4 linked regions of the Arabidopsis thaliana genome follow. The protein of the gene in region 3 binds, or shares a complex with, the protein of the main gene of each other region. Each region holds a gene or a part of one and is shown on either strand. Other genes may lie near its edges. The genes, in order: AT5G45775, ATL5, AT2G19730 and STV1.

Region 1 (3,831 bases), on a different chromosome or scaffold from region 3:
GTTTCTCTTCTTCTGGGTGCTTTGGCATCGATCACGTCTCTCAAGATCACACGGTACATATCTAATAGTCTCTCTCTGTCTGTCATATACAATATATGTCAAGACTTTGCTAAAATCTGCATTACTTTTTATGGATTTCTTAGTGCAGCAAGACTACGAATTTGAAATCGGCCATCTGAAAAGGTTCAGTTTTCGCGAAATACAAACCGCAACAAGCAATTTTAGTCCAAAGAACATTTTGGGACAAGGAGGGTTTGGGATGGTTTATAAAGGGTATCTCCCAAATGGAACTGTGGTGGCAGTTAAAAGATTGAAAGATCCGATTTATACAGGAGAAGTTCAGTTTCAAACCGAAGTAGAGATGATTGGCTTAGCTGTTCACCGTAACCTTTTACGCCTCTTTGGATTCTGTATGACCCCGGAAGAGAGAATGCTTGTGTATCCGTACATGCCAAATGGAAGCGTAGCTGATCGTCTGAGAGGTTTTCAATTAACACATTTCTTGTTTTGTTATTCTTTCGATATATAACGCGAAAAGTTCCTTATAAGATTACATGTTTCAGACAATTATGGAGAAAAGCCGTCTCTAGATTGGAATCGGAGGATAAGCATTGCACTCGGCGCAGCTCGAGGACTTGTTTACTTGCACGAGCAATGCAATCCAAAGATTATTCACAGAGACGTCAAAGCTGCAAATATTCTACTTGATGAGAGCTTTGAAGCAATAGTTGGCGATTTTGGTCTAGCAAAGCTTTTAGACCAGAGAGATTCACATGTCACTACCGCAGTCCGAGGAACCATTGGACACATCGCTCCCGAGTACCTTTCCACTGGACAGTCCTCAGAGAAAACCGATGTTTTCGGATTCGGAGTACTAATCCTTGAACTCATAACAGGTCATAAGATGATTGATCAAGGCAATGGTCAAGTTCGAAAAGGAATGATATTGAGCTGGGTAAGTAAAAAAATTCTATGAGTCATTTACTCAACTTAGACTGAACCCATAAGGACAAAACTTAAATCTAAACCATTGGTTTTTGTAGGTAAGGACATTGAAAGCAGAGAAGAGATTTGCAGAGATGGTGGACAGAGATTTGAAGGGAGAGTTTGATGATTTGGTGTTGGAGGAAGTAGTGGAATTGGCTTTGCTTTGTACACAGCCACATCCGAATCTAAGACCGAGGATGTCTCAAGTGTTGAAGGTACTAGAAGGTTTAGTGGAACAGTGTGAAGGAGGGTATGAAGCTAGAGCTCCAAGTGTCTCTAGGAACTACAGTAATGGTCATGAAGAGCAGTCCTTTATTATTGAAGCCATTGAGCTCTCTGGACCACGATGATAGACTTCATAGTGTCTTAACTAGTCTTCTTGATTTTGTTGTCATTGTCATGGCATTAACTGTAAAAATTTGTTTTCTCAATAACTCTTATTTATTCTGTTCTTCCAAAAATAAATGAAGATTTGCGTTTCCACAGTCTCATAAAAAATTATCTATCGTTAATTTTAAAACTCATACATAATAAAGTGATTCGGCGAATGAAAGACTATTTGCCTTATGTAACTAAGAAGGCCAAATATATGCTTAAGATTATGCTTTTCTTATGGGCTTTATAATATTGGCCCATTAAACCATTTTAATAAATCAAAGGGGTAATTTCGTCATTGCGTTAATTCAAGAAACCCTAAGTACCGACCCATATAAGTTCTCTCACTTTGCACTCGACGCAGTTTTGGGCTTTGCAAACTCTACACTGCTTCGTCTCTTAGCTCGACATTGATCTCCTTAAAATGGTATTTGTTTCGTTCGTCTCTGTAGATCGATTCAATGAAAATGTGTTTAGTTCAATGGGTTTATTTTTCGGCTTTGTTTTGTTTCTCAGGCGTCGGAGAAGAAGCTCTCGAACCCCATGAGGGACATTAAGGTTCAGAAACTTGTTCTCAACATTTCCGTTGGTGAGAGTGGTGATCGTCTCACTCGTGCCTCCAAGGTTCGATTTTGTTTGTAAAAATCTGACCTTTACGATTATCCATCATTGATTTAGTGATTTAGATTTGAATTATTGTTTTTGGTTATTTCGTATAGGTGTTGGAGCAGCTCAGTGGACAAACCCCTGTCTTCTCTAAGGGTATGTGAATTTGAAATCTTTCAGGGATTTAAGTTTGATTTTGTGTTGATCTTGATTCTGATGTATGTTGTGGTTTTTGTTATACAGCGAGGTACACTGTGAGGTCTTTTGGTATCAGGCGTAATGAGAAGATTGCGTGTTATGTGACTGTGAGAGGTGAGAAGGCAATGCAGCTTCTTGAGAGTGGTTTGAAAGTTAAGGAGTATGAGCTTCTTAGGAGGAACTTCAGTGACACTGGTTGCTTTGGATTTGGTATCCAAGAGCACATTGATCTTGGAATCAAGTAAGTTTTCTGTTTCTTTTGCGATGAAAGTTTCCTTGAATTAGTTACATTAATGGCTTTGTATAATGGTTTTGGTACTTGGATTCTTCATGTATCTGTATATGTTTAAAAGAATTTCAGTTGCATCTAAATGTCAAGTCTCTAAATTAGGGGTTTTGTGAGGTTTAGTCAGAATGCAGACTACTTTGGTTTTCGCTGAGTGTTATAGTTTTTGTGGAATTTTAAGTATGGATTGGATTAAAAATGAGCCCTTTACTAGTTTTTGGTTGAATGCTAGATTTGGGTCTAGTAAAAGATGAATGCTTTACTGTTTTTCAAGGGTGTTAGATTCGAAACTGATTAACTGGTTTATTTGAAATGTTTACTGTTCTCATGTGTTTTATTTTGTGTATATAGGTACGATCCTTCCACTGGTATCTACGGAATGGACTTTTACGTTGTCCTTGAACGCCCAGGATATCGTGTGGCTCGCCGCCGTAGATGCAAGACTCGTGTTGGTATTCAACACAGAGTAACCAAGGATGATGCAATGAAATGGTTCCAGGTCAAGTATGAAGGAGTTATCCTCAACAAGTCTCAGAACATCACTGGTTAAAAAGTGTTTTGATCTTTAAAGATTTTTGTTGATTCTAGCTTATTTTAAGTTGTTATCTTTGGATGTTAAAGAATTTCTTGTTGTAGTAAATCTTTTGACATCAGTTTGGTAGAATCTAAATCTTCCAAGAACCTTGGAGATATGTTTCTTATTTTATTCAATGTCATCATCAAAACTAAAATCAATCAAAAGCAGCTCCTTTGATTTCATTGTCCTTATAGATGAATATGTCTCTGGACTACACAGTCCCTAAACTAACCCTATGTTTTGAACAAATTTGTATAAATAAAACTAAAGATACTCATAACCACAATTCATAAATACACTCATAACCACAATTCATAAATACTAAAACAGGAGAAAATAAAATAAAACATTTAGAAGGAGAGAAGGGTGAATACACAACCAATACAAAATTACTACGTCCCAGACTTCTCAAATCAAACGACACCTTTTAGCGAGATAAAAGAGGAAGAGGATTAAGAACACAAGCGAGAAAAGACCAATGCCGAGACCAAACAGAGTCTTGTTGGAACCTTTGTGTTCTTCTTCTTCTTCTTCCTTCGTCTTCAGATTCTCCGTCTTCTCCTCATTGCCTCCTTCAACGTCGTAATCGTTTTCTCCTGACAAAGATTCCTCCTTTTGCGACGGAGACCATAAAGGAAAACCGTATTTATCACACGGAGCAAGACCCTCCAATTTCAAGTTCGAGGAGAGAACAGTTTTGTTATAACAGAGCTCACTGTTCCTTCCAATTTCGAAAAAGTTGAGATTTTTGATGAAGCTTTCGTTGAATGGTAAAACTCCATGGAAGGAGTTATCAGCGAGA
Region 2 (4,647 bases), on a different chromosome or scaffold from region 3:
TTATGGTTTTCTGATTTAGTTTTAGTTGTTCAGATCTGATAAAGTCGGAAACTTTTTGAGTAATTTAATGCAATTTTGGGAATTTTTGATGATTGTGACAGTGTGATGAGCTTGTGGAGCATGGTGCATCAGTATGTGAGAGTCCAGCTGAAGTAATCAAGAAATGCAAATACACTATTGCTATGCTCTCTGATCCTTGTGCTGCTCTTTCGGTATTTGAAATCCTTTTTTGCTTCTTTTGTGTGTGTTTTAGCATTGGTGATGAATGATATGAAGTAGTTGTTTGATTAGGTTGTTTTCGATAAAGGCGGTGTTTTGGAGCAGATATGTGAAGGAAAAGGTTATATCGATATGTCGACTGTTGATGCAGAGACTTCTTTGAAGATCAATGAGGTTGAATCTTTTGTACTTTAGATGCTGATGATAAGATTAGAAGAAGGTTGATTAGTTTGATTGAGCTGTGTTGCGCATTGGTAGGCAATCACCGGGAAGGGTGGTCGGTTCGTAGAAGGTCCGGTTTCAGGTAGCAAAAAGCCAGCTGAAGATGGCCAACTCATTATCCTTGCTGCTGGTGACAAGGTACAACTCAAAACTGTACTTATGGATTGATTGATAGATCTCAAGAACTGTTTTAGTTGGACTTAGTAGGAAGGAGCTCTCGATGTGCGGCTATAATCCGTTTGTGTTTTAATCCTTTTTTGTAAGGCACTCTTTGAGGAATCAATCCCAGCTTTTGATGTCTTGGGGAAGAGATCGTTTTACTTGGGACAAGTTGGAAACGGAGCTAAAATGAAGCTAATAGTGAACATGATAATGGGAAGGTGAATGTCCCGTCTCTTTTACAATTACTACCATTAGTAGTAGGAATGGAACATGGCTTCATGATCTTATTGTTTTTCGTCTGATACAGCATGATGAATGCATTCTCTGAGGGGCTTGTATTGGCTGACAAGAGTGGACTTAGCTCTGACACTCTTTTGGATATTCTGGTGAGGTGATCAAACTTTTGCAAGCTCTGAAATAATGGTGTTGGTTTGAATCGGTTTCTGCTATGGGCAGGATCTGGGAGCAATGACTAACCCGATGTTCAAGGGGAAAGGACCTTCAATGAACAAGAGTAGTTACCCACCAGCATTTCCATTGAAACATCAGCAGAAAGACATGAGGCTAGCTCTTGCTCTTGGCGATGAAAACGCGGTTTCCATGCCTGTAGCCGCGGCTGCAAACGAGGTCAGTTAGTTAGTTAGTTACTCAGAGACAATAACATATTGGCTCTCCCTCCTCTAGATTGGTTTCTTAGCTTGAATCTTAAAATATATGTTTCGGTTCTCGACAGGCTTTTAAGAAGGCGAGAAGCTTGGGACTAGGAGATCTCGACTTCTCTGCTGTGATTGAAGCTGTGAAATTCTCCCGCGAATAGCAAACTGTTTCAAAACATCCACTCATTTGGATTGGCTGAGATACTGAAATCATTGTTATCTTCCCAAATAGAGATTTACTCATTTGGCCAAACACACATTTTACTCCTTCACCAAATAAAAAGTCTTAACCACATATCCAGAAACGTTCATAGAGTTGCAACCTTACGTTTCAACTACTTTATGGCTAGTTCACTCGATATTGGTCCAGAGGTAGATCAAATTGATTGAAACAGAACCAATAAAATAGAGCAAAGTTTATTTGAAGTTGGTCACTGTTAAGGTTATATGAAACAAAGGAAGCAAAAAAGAACCCGTAGATGAGAAGATCAAAGAAATAACATTGCATCAAGATGGTCAAGAGAAATGTTCCTATGGATTATAGACAAACGAGGAGAGGAGGAGACCATTTCAGTAGAAAATTGGATTTCGTTGGAGTGTGAATGTAAAAGCCCATAGGCCCATTAATAATATAACTAGTAAAGCCCATTAACATTTTTCAGCCCACGAGGAGTTTTCTAGGGTTTTGTCTTATAAGATGTCGCATTTAGGTCATTCCGCCTCTTGCTTCTCTTCACTCACAATCTCACAGCAAAGCCTCTCGTTGCTAGAGGAATCAAACAATGGTAAACCCTAGCTTTAATCTCTATCTCTTCTCATTTCTCAATCGTTTCTTCTTAATCTTCTCTTAAGAAAATCGGGTTTTGATCTTCATTTCATATAGAAATCTCCTGCATTGCTTTTGATTAGATATCGTAACGAGAATTCGTGATCCTATGGTTCTATCCACCTTCGTAGATGTTTTTCTTCATGGGTTTTTGGTTTTATAACTTGCTTGAGAATTGAAATAGGAAAAGTTTGAGACTTTGCTTTTGTTCTGTTTTAGAGGTCACTGATACGTATTCAATGGAGTTCTTACCGTAGATCTTTGTTACCATCGAAGAACCTTTATATTGTTGGATCTTAGACTAATAAAATAAGATGATTTGTTGTTGGTAGGTGTTTGTGAAGTCCACCAAGTCGAATGCTTACTTCAAGAGGTACCAAGTGAAGTTCAGGAGAAGAAGAGGTAATAGATTGTTGATTCGTTTTATTCTGATGATATTGTTTGTTCTCTCTTTGTTTCAATCTGTTTCTGAAAATTATTTTATTTTTGTGTAGATGGAAAGACTGACTACAGGGCAAGGATCCGTCTTATCAACCAAGACAAGAACAAGTACAATACTCCTAAGTATCGTTTTGTTGTCCGGTTTACCAACAAAGACATAGTGGCACAGATTGTATCTGCAAGCATTGCTGGTGACATTGTTAAAGCTTCTGCTTACGCACATGAACTGCCTCAGTATGGTCTCACTGTTGGTCTTACAAACTATGCTGCAGGTATTGAATGTGTCATCTGGTATTGTTTTCCAATTTAATATGGTTGATTCTGTCTTTATGGCTTACTTATGTGTAATTTTTTTTTGTTGAACTAGCTTACTGTACTGGCCTTCTTTTGGCTCGCCGTGTTTTAAAGATGTTGGAAATGGATGACGAGTATGAGGGAAACGTTGAGGTATGTTGTGTGATTGGTTTCATCTTGATAATAAGAAGCATTGTTATTGTCTCTTGTTAGAAACTCAAGTCACACAATGAATCAGGCCACTGGAGAAGACTTTTCCGTTGAGCCAACTGATTCAAGGAGACCTTTCCGTGCTCTTCTTGATGTTGGACTTATCAGGACCACAACAGGAAACCGTGTGTTCGGTGCTCTTAAGGTATTAACTTGTTTCTCTTTTTTTGTTGTGAGTGCTCTTATTTGTCATTCTTCTTGAGCAAATGCTTATACTGGCAATTCTTTAATATCCTTTTGGTTCGCTGTTTGAATCTGTAGGGTGCTTTGGATGGTGGTCTTGATATCCCTCACAGTGACAAGAGATTTGCTGGGTTCCACAAGGAGAACAAGCAACTTGATGCTGAAATCCACAGGAACTACATCTATGGTGGCCATGTCTCAAACTACATGAAGCTGTTGGGAGAAGATGAGCCAGAGAAGTTACAAACTCACTTCAGTGCTTACATCAAGAAAGGAGTTGAAGCTGAGAGCATTGAGGAGTTGTACAAGAAGGTTCACGCAGCTATTCGTGCTGACCCCAACCCAAAGAAAACCGTGAAACCTGCTCCCAAGCAACACAAGAGGTAGGGAAACAGAATCAATCTAGTCTATCTATATTCTTGTCTTGTTGGTGTATTGGTGTCTCATTTGGTCTTCCATTTAACAAAACAGGTACAACTTGAAGAAACTTACTTACGAGGAGAGGAAGAACAAGTTGATCGAGAGAGTCAAGGCATTGAATGGAGCAGGTGGTGATGATGATGATGAGGACGATGAAGAGTAAATCAGTCAAGCCTTCTTTATCTCATGCCTCTTGTAGTTTTTTATCTTTTGAGCTTAATGCCTCAAATTTTCTGTTTTCAGACTAAAACACTCAGCTTTTGTGTTCACATTTTAATTGTGTTCGAGGATTTTGATATTGAGGATACATTTTCTTTGAAGTATCATTATCTTATTATTACCTTCATCATAATTTTCAAGAATTTGTATGACAATAGTTTGATGACTTGATTTTATCTGTAGTTTGCTATTGTTAAATGTAAGAACTGTTAGACTTCATCTATATGAACTAGAAAACATTGCTACAAGATGAACTAGATCACATTACTACAAGTTTAGAGCTAAATCACTGTTTAAGGAAATAACTCAGTATTCTCTTGGAGCTATTATTATATGTAGCCTTATCGGGTACTGGAACTGTCTTATGCAAAGTAGGAATGACTTATCTGCTCTGTAGTATGAAGTATGAACTATCCTGGAAGCTGACTAATACGTAATTTAATTTCTCTCGTGACTTCTTTAGTATATAATCGAGAATATGATGTGTATTATTTGGATTCCAAGTAAATTACATGAATGGTGGAGCCCTACATGAAAGGGACCACGATTTGTCCTTAGCAAAATTTTCCATAAATTTTTATGGTGAAAGGTAACAGCCATGAAGCTTCTCTTTCTCTACCAACAGAGTCAACGATCTGTATTCAATATACACAACGTCTCTTTGTTAATCCTTCCTCTACCATGTATGCTTAGTCTTAGATCCTTTTTTCACCTTACTAATGAATTCTTCTTTTTTCCTTGGTACTCTTGCAGCTGCAATAGGCTTCTTAACCCTTTTAAAAAAATTCAAATTCC
Region 3 (4,067 bases):
CAAATATTCTAACTCTTTTCATTCATCAAGAAACCTAATTCGAATCAATACAAGTTGCAATTTTAGTCTAATCATTAGACTCTATGCCCAGAACGAACTTAAGCAAAACGGAAACGAGATATTGCAAATAAGGTCAAAAGTATTGAAGCTTTAGGTTTTACCAGCTATGGAGGCGCCTGTGGAGATTGATAGTGTACTCCCTGGTCACGACCTCTTCCTTTCTTCCCTTTCCTTTCTCCATTTTGCTTCGATCTCCCTGGTCTTCGAAATGGTGTTGGAGACGGCCACAGCAAGAGAACAGAATTAATTCATGTCTAAGAAACCCTAATATAAACCTTTCCGTATGCTATAAGTTGGGCCGTCTATGGGCCTGATGGGCTTTTGGATAAGTATAGAGCATGCTAAGATGGAATTCTCAAGTTGGTTTTTGATGGGATCTAATGAAAATGTCAACATTATAGTCCACAAGAACATCACATTTGATGCAACAAATCTAAACATTTATGTTTGCTATTTTGAGTCAATTTAGGCTTTCAAAAGTCATAATATATAAGGACTTGGTTGTTGATTACATTTGATTTGCTAATAAAATCTAGAATAGAGATTTTAAGAAAGTTCTTGATTCGATAAAAGGATCTAACAAAATGTAACACAAGCACACCAGAAACATCAAGCATAACAAGATAAACTTCTAACTCCTTTATAATAAGGATAATGAAAAAGGAGAATAGCATTATGGTTCAACTTCAAAGCAACAACTTAAATAAAACCTGTTCAACAAAATCTTTTACTTCAAAAAAAACAGATTGTGAAAGAAGAAGCTTAAGCTTGTCTGTTTCTTTGCTTGGCACCGGACTTGGCAACCCTGAGACCTTTGCTGATGGCGCTGAGTCTAGCAAGTGCAGCTTTCTTCAAGTCCGGCCTGTAGTAGTTGTCCACCACCTAAACATTTACACAATCATTTGGTTTAGATTGTATTCACGTATGAAACCAATAAACAGCAACATTAAGCAGATCAATGAAAATAGCCAAGTGTAAAATTAATATTTCATCAATATGCCACAAAAAGGAGCCTTATATGAAGTTAAATTTTAATCTTTGCACAGCTATGCATCATATCGTTTTACCATAACATATTAACTCTCCTCTCACAGGTAGAGGGAAGAACATAAAAACCAATTGTAGATCATAGCCGTGAAAATAACACACAAAACTAGATATAGAGACCTATAAGCACACCATAGACATATAAAAAACACTAAAGTAATAAAAATTGAGTAATACCTGGTTAGCAACAGCCTTTGACATCCTGGGGAATTCCTTCTTGAGGATAGACTTGTTGACAGAGAGCTTAGGCTTGTTCTGCTTCTTGGTCTTGGTGGTGGCGAGCACAACAGCTTGGTCCTTGTCAGCGGCCTGGATGGTCACAGTCTTTTTGTTTGCAAGACCTGAAACCACATCAAAAGATTCAAACTTTAGCCTAATTCAAGACAATAACAAAACCTAATACATAGTATGAAGTGTCTGCTCAACTCAGACTACCATTTTTGTCTTTAAATTAGAAGATACATACACAATTGTAATACAGATTCAAATGGTCAAATGTAAAGAAACTACATTTCACGGTCAACTTGCAACAGATAAGAAAATAAGCTTATACTCGAGAATCAATAAAATAGTGCATAAAGACGATCTCAAACAGCCAAGTTTCAACCACAATCATCTAATAGTCGAGAATCCACAATCTTTCATAGAACCAAAAGCACTTAACACATCAACATTTCTTAACAACTTTAGTTCCCAATCTATTCTACTAAATCAACCAACCAGAGATGTAAAGTAATCATTTGTTCTCAAATGGCCAAGATATCATTTCGTTCAGAAACAAAGAATCTCGTAAACAAGAGTACAAATTTACCAGAGTGCTTGTAAGAGTGAACGTTGGTGAGGTTGTTAGTCTCCTTGCTGAATTGAACCTTAGAGTTTCCTCTACCGAACTGCTTCACCAAGAAACAGTTGTTGTTCTTCACGATCTCCCAGATCAATTGTCCTGGAACTGTCGCCATTTCAAATACCTACCTTCACCACACCAAAAATGATACTACCAATCAACAACACATACATTAACAGATCGATTCCTAAAGGCTACTACTATAGAGCTCGCTGAATCAAAATATCTACACAAAATCAGATCATCTAAGCTACGAAAATCAAGACATACTGAACTGAGAACAATTGAGAGTAATACTAAGCTCACCGTGAAATTTCGCAGATAGAGATCGAGAGATTTTAATGGTGGCGCCGGAGCTTTGTTAGAAGACGAATGGAGCTATTTATATATGACCTCTGAAAAAAATAAAACCCTAGCTCATGTAAGTGAACGTGAAAAGTCTAAAATACCCCTAATGTTTTTCGAAATGTCGAAATACCCACAATTCTGAGAAACGTTGGAATAAACCCATTTCCTGCTGCTCTGTTGAACTTTAGGGGTTATCGATTCTTTTTGATTCGTTGTCATTCGATTATAGAATTTGTATTAGAAATCGGAATTTTCGATCAATGGGGAGGAGAATATTGAACGATGCATTGAGAACGATCGTGAATGCTGAGAAGCGAGGGAAAGCTTCGGTGGAGTTGAAACCTGTCTCTACCGTAATGTCTTCGTTTCTCAAAATCATGAAAGAGAAAGGTGAGATTTTTCACTTCTTCTTTCTTCTGGTCTAATTGGGTCTTAATTCATTTCCCTAATTTTTCATCTACTTGTTTAGATTTATCAGTTTCGTCGACATTGGTTTTAGTCACTTTTGCTTGTAGTGAAGTATGATTAATGATCCATAGTCTCTATTGTTTTGTTGGTCCTTGAGCTGATCCTAACACGTATAGCTCAAGAATTTCCATGTGTGATCACTCGATGTAAGAGATTGGTTACAACATGGTCCCAATGATTAAGCTTTGTTCTTGGTTAACTATGAAGTTGCAGAAGATTGAAAAGTTTCTGTTTTTTGATTCTTATGGATAAGTTACATCTTGATCTATGGTTGGAGAAAGTCATATCTGCTCCTGTTTAGTTTATGGTCTAACTTAAGTTTGTTTCGATCTTCGTCTGTGTTTTGTATGTTTTTAGTTAGGAATTTGAAGTAGTTCTTTTCAAAGTTGATAGTTTGTGACTGAAGTATAAAGATACCATTTCTATGCTCAAACCGCAGAATCAGCTAGTTTTTTGTCTATTACTTTACAAAATGTATGTTGATGTATTATGTATAGGGTACATCAAGAACTTCCAAGTCCATGATCCACACAGAGTTGGAAGAATAACTGTTGATCTACAAGGAAGGGTTAATGATTGCAAAGCTCTCACTTATAGGCAGGACGTTAAGGCAAATGAGATCGGGCAATACACAGAACGCACACTTCCAACGCGCCAGGTTCGGTTCTACACTAGTTCTGAATATGCAACTAATCGTAACTTAAACCTTCTTTAATTTGTTATATGCAGTGGGGTTATATAGTGATTACAACTCCCGATGGCATTTTGGATCATGAAGAAGCTATTAAACGGAATGTGGGTGGTCAGGTTCTTGGTTTCTTTCATTGAACTGCAATACGGAAAGAAACTCTGATGGAGGGACTTTGATATGTCAAACCCTGCCATAACATGTCATTTGTCTGGCTTTTTCGACATTGTTTGTTTGTTTGTTTGTTTTCTTGCACTGCAGTTTCAGCAAGATGGAGAATTAGAGAACAAAATTTATTTCTATTATGACAACATTTCGAATGGTATTATAAAATCTTTCTCTTCGCAAATAGTTATTTTCTATTCTGTTTATCCACACAAAAAAAAAAAAGACAAGGAAAACCAATCAAGACCAAGCAGAATCACACCACTACTTCAATCTGTATAACGTGTAAGAATATCAAATTCAGTCAGAGTAAAGAATGAGGGGAACTGTTTTCCGTGTGAAAGAATATATATATGAACAGAAGGACAAGATGAGCAGATTCAGCGTCGACTGGGAGCACGAAGCGCTCCGAGCCTTGCAAAGATATCGTCATATTCTGGGAGGTTG
Region 4 (3,604 bases), on a different chromosome or scaffold from region 3:
GATTACTTCTGGACACCTATACTGTCTCGTTTGAATGTCGCTTGTGAACTGTTTGTATGTCCAACACGCATTACCAAAGTCAACAAGTTTACACTTGAGGTCAGCAGATGCCACAAGGTGCCTTCGACTTGATCGACTCCCTTTCTTACCACCCTGCTTTCCTTTCTCGCTACCATCTAATTCAATTGCGTCAGAAGTAGAAGGACAATCTTCTTCAACCGATTTTTCTGCAGCACATTGTTTTCCATTAACCGGTGATCCCACTCCACGAACTTTATCAGATTCCGTATTGCCCTTATTCTCTGCATGTCCCTGAGCCGAAAGCTTTGCCTTTCTATGACTTCCTGTTTTTTGATTCTTGACAAAATCACCATTGGAGTCAACAACTGTATTATCCTTATCAGTGGGGAGAACAAGAGGAGCTCCAGACTTCCTCGGATCTTTAGACGGATCAATAGTTGACGGTAACAAAACATTCTCAGGCTTCAAATCAGTATGTATAATCGAAAGCTGTTTATGCAAGTAGTCTAAACCAACCAACATATGATAACAAATCTCCTTAACCATAGGAATAGGTAAGCCACGGTAATCAGAATACTTAATCAACGTTAACAGATTATCTCCCAAATACTCAAAAACCATACATACATGCTGACCATTCGGACCTGAGTGTTTGAAATGATCCAAAAGCTTCACAACACATTTGGTATCATCAGTGTCTCCCTCTGCAATCTGTTGCAATATTGTTATCTCATCCATGGCTGCTTCAGTATAATGCTGAGCACTCTTTTGCACCTTCAAAGCCACATATCTCTGTACATTCGATATACGAGTAAGAAAATCACACAAACAAAGCAACGAAAAATTAATCTCTAAAGCATTTCAAGCAATTCGTGTGGCGAGAGAGAGAGATAGATGCGTACAGAGGATTGAGTATCCCAGGAGAGCCAAACAGTAGAGAAATGGCCCCAACCGAGTTTGCTCTGGACAACGTACCGGCCGGTTTTGAATGAGTCACCGATCCGAACGGCGTGGTAACCGCCGCGTCGGTAATCTTCTGTACCTTCGTCCTCCGACGTGTATTCACCACCGTCGCTGTTCCACTTCTCCGCCTCCATATTCAGTAAATCTAGACGCAACGCGAGACAAACTAAGCTCTCTACTCTTGGAATATCCGGCGACGATTCAATCCAATTTTGTGGATCTCTCTCTCTTTTGATTTGATTTTTTCTGGAAGCTTGTGCAGAGAGAGAGCTTAGCTACTTGTTCAAACTTTCATCTACCTTTTACGAAACGTCACCGTTTTTTAGGTCCATTGACAAGTTTCCTCTACCGTCGTCGGCTATGGGAAAAAATCAAAAAATTATTGGAGGAGAGCTGACGTCATCACTACAAAAATATATGGGCTAATAAAATTATGGGCCTATTTGTGATGGGCCTATTTAGTGGGCTTAAAGTGTGGGCCAGAATAATATATATAGACGAAAATGGCATTGGGTGAAATGTGAAGTCTCTTATATATAAGTATCGAGAGAATTAGGGTTTTCTAGTCTAGTGTTTCCGGGAGCAGCCTGAGCAGGAGGAAGAAGACGAAGAAGAAGAGGAGCAGCTACTACCATGGTTCTCAAGTAATCAAATCTCACCTCTCTCTCTCTCTCTGTATCTGTTCCTGTGTTGAATCTATTAACATCGCCTAGTGATAATGATTCATGATTTCACACTATCGGAAGGATCGATTCACTGAAATTGACTCTTGTTTCAATCGGAATTTATGATATGTTTTGCTTTACCGTTAGCTAAGCTGGGTAATTTCATGGTCTCTGTGTAGCTGGATCTGGTTCTAAGTAATAAAAGTATGATACTTCGTTAATATCTGTGATTAGTCTGTATTTGGTATATGGATGATTCATTTCTATCATGTAGACTGAGATTTTTCAGTGTCAAAGATCATTTGGTTGTCATTTCTAGTTGCAATGTCTCATTTGTTTATTATCTATGAAATACAGGACGGAGCTTTGTCGTTTCAGTGGACAGAAGATTTACCCAGGAAGAGGAATTAGGTTTATCCGATCTGATTCTCAGGTTGGTTCTTTTATGAATCTTCAGCTAATCAAATTGATTTGTTTATACTTTGCAAATGTTTTGGTTTTAGTCTTTTAATGGTTTGTATTGTTTTCAGGTTTTCTTGTTTCTTAACTCAAAATGTAAGAGGTACTTCCATAACAAGTTGAAGCCATCCAAGCTTGCATGGACTGCCATGTACAGAAAGCAACACAAGAAGGTAAAAAAAAAACTCAGTAATTTGGATCTGTTTTGTTGTTTGTACTTTGTTTTTTTTCATTGATCCTGATTTGTTAACATTCTAAAACTCTGTTTCTTTTATAGGATGCAGCACAAGAGGCTGTGAAGAGAAGGAGACGTGCCACCAAGAAGCCATACTCAAGGTCCATTGTTGGTGCTACCTTGGAAGTAATTCAGAAGAAGAGAGCTGAGAAGCCTGAAGTTCGTGATGCAGCCAGGGAAGCTGCTCTGCGGTTAGTTTTCTCCCTCTGTCAAATCATCCAACTAGGATTAAAATAGTTATATTTGACTTAATAAATGTATTGTGATGATGATTCAACAAACAGTGAGATCAAGGAAAGAATCAAAAAGACCAAAGATGAAAAGAAGGCTAAGAAGGTGGAATTTGCTTCTAAGCAACAGAAGGTCAAGGCTAATTTCCCCAAAGCTGCTGCTGCATCCAAGGGTCCTAAGGTGGGAGGTGGTGGTGGCAAACGCTGAAGAGCTTAAAGCCATCTTTTCTCACTCTGCGTCTTTTCTGCTAGTAGCTACTTTTAGTAGTTGATGTTCATTTCTGAATATTTGCAAAACATAAACCTTGTTATTTCGTTTTTGTCTCTCACTTTTGCTACTCTTATAATATCAGACTTGAGAATTTTGCTGCTTATGAACTTTATTTCACTGCTCTCTCTTGTCCTCCTATCATTAAAATCAGAAGAGTTTGTGTTCCTATAATAACTCTTTTTAAAACATTGTTTACTATCTTGCTACGCAATCTCATATCACCCGGTTGTGTTCAATAGCCGATTCTAATTGCAACTACTGAGCTAACAGCAACCTTGGTTATGTATCTTATGCTCTTTTGCTAAAATCGATTTAAGGATTGTTGTGAACATGTGACAACTTCAATTGTTACGGATTGCATCAGAACTGAAATTGCATTGTAAGGAACACCATGAATATTGGTTGATTTTTTCACACTGTTCAGTTAATTCATTTCAACAAGATTTATGTTGTTGGTCAATAACTTTAGCAATAAATTTACTTGTGGAAAATTTTCACGGGGCCAAAACATAACATATGTGGTTGGAGAAATATTTCGTTCATGCATGATCCTTGTCCCCCAAAAAGCCATACTCGCTTAAGTACATTTCGATACATTCGAGATATGATAGAAAACTGTTGTCCCTTTTGTTCGATTCTATTGTATTGTATAATAAAACTAAGCTAAGTTTTTAAAATTTTGGATAATGGGTGCTAATTTTTACTAAAACTTTGGGAATGTTTATAGTTTGTGTATAAGTATGAAATCCATATAATCTGT

What was found.
Region 1: AT2G19730 (region 3) and AT5G45775 share a complex: the UniProt entries of both Arabidopsis thaliana proteins name them as parts of the large ribosomal subunit.
Region 2: AT2G19730 (region 3) and ATL5 share a complex: the UniProt entries of both Arabidopsis thaliana proteins name them as parts of the large ribosomal subunit.
Region 4: AT2G19730 (region 3) and STV1 share a complex: the UniProt entries of both Arabidopsis thaliana proteins name them as parts of the large ribosomal subunit.

The regions. Positions count from the first base shown.
Region 1 is NC_003076.8:18,564,452-18,568,282, reverse strand, and holds AT5G45775 (Ribosomal L5P family protein), read left to right. Parts: upstream 1-1,700; 5' UTR 1,701-1,786; coding exon 1,787-1,789; intron 1,790-1,812; exon of another isoform or gene 1,813-1,878; coding exon 1,879-1,986; intron 1,987-2,081; coding exon 2,082-2,124; intron 2,125-2,211; coding exon 2,212-2,407; intron 2,408-2,803; coding exon 2,804-3,002; 3' UTR 3,003-3,291; downstream 3,292-3,831. Other genes in the region: AT5G45780 (Leucine-rich repeat protein kinase family protein), read left to right, coding at 1-53, 144-482, 564-955, 1,044-1,337; RLP55 (receptor like protein 55), read right to left, coding at 3,438-3,831. UniProt on the Arabidopsis thaliana protein: Component of the ribosome, a large ribonucleoprotein complex responsible for the synthesis of proteins in the cell.
Region 2 is NC_003074.8:9,268,722-9,273,368, reverse strand, and holds ATL5 (ribosomal protein L5), read left to right. Parts: upstream 1-1,903; 5' UTR 1,904-2,041; coding exon 2,042-2,044; exon of another isoform or gene 2,045-2,194; coding exon of another isoform or gene 2,195-2,197; intron 2,198-2,417; coding exon 2,418-2,487; intron 2,488-2,579; coding exon 2,580-2,798; intron 2,799-2,893; coding exon 2,894-2,973; intron 2,974-3,058; coding exon 3,059-3,175; intron 3,176-3,291; coding exon 3,292-3,596; intron 3,597-3,684; coding exon 3,685-3,796; 3' UTR 3,797-4,092; downstream 4,093-4,647. Other genes in the region: GLYR1 (glyoxylate reductase 1), read left to right, coding at 102-212, 292-393, 478-579, 706-821, 911-989, 1,060-1,230, 1,337-1,420. UniProt on the Arabidopsis thaliana protein: Component of the ribosome, a large ribonucleoprotein complex responsible for the synthesis of proteins in the cell.
Region 3 is NC_003071.7:8,509,751-8,513,817, reverse strand, and holds AT2G19730 (Ribosomal L28e protein family), read right to left. Parts: upstream 2,333-4,067; 5' UTR 2,258-2,332; exon of another isoform or gene 2,227-2,257; intron 2,080-2,226; exon of another isoform or gene 2,076-2,079; 5' UTR 2,067-2,075; coding exon 1,919-2,066; intron 1,449-1,918; coding exon 1,285-1,448; intron 943-1,284; coding exon 823-942; 3' UTR 527-822; downstream 1-526. Other genes in the region: AT2G19740 (Ribosomal protein L31e family protein), read right to left, coding at 162-241; rps15ab (ribosomal protein S15A B), read left to right, coding at 2,560-2,689, 3,265-3,425, 3,497-3,595; AT2G19710 (Regulator of Vps4 activity in the MVB pathway protein), read right to left, coding at 4,001-4,067. UniProt on the Arabidopsis thaliana protein: Component of the large ribosomal subunit. Essential in leaf polarity establishment, probably having a role for translation in leaf dorsoventral patterning to specify leaf adaxial identity.
Region 4 is NC_003074.8:19,659,926-19,663,529, reverse strand, and holds STV1 (Ribosomal protein L24e family protein), read left to right. Parts: upstream 1-1,504; 5' UTR 1,505-1,617; coding exon 1,618-1,628; intron 1,629-2,006; coding exon 2,007-2,082; intron 2,083-2,179; coding exon 2,180-2,281; intron 2,282-2,385; coding exon 2,386-2,534; intron 2,535-2,627; coding exon 2,628-2,781; 3' UTR 2,782-3,042; downstream 3,043-3,604. Other genes in the region: SRPK4 (ser/arg-rich protein kinase 4), read right to left, coding at 1-813, 924-1,118. UniProt on the Arabidopsis thaliana protein: Might have an extraribosomal function in reinitiation of translation of ETTIN and MONOPTEROS genes that are involved in the auxin-mediated gynoecium patterning.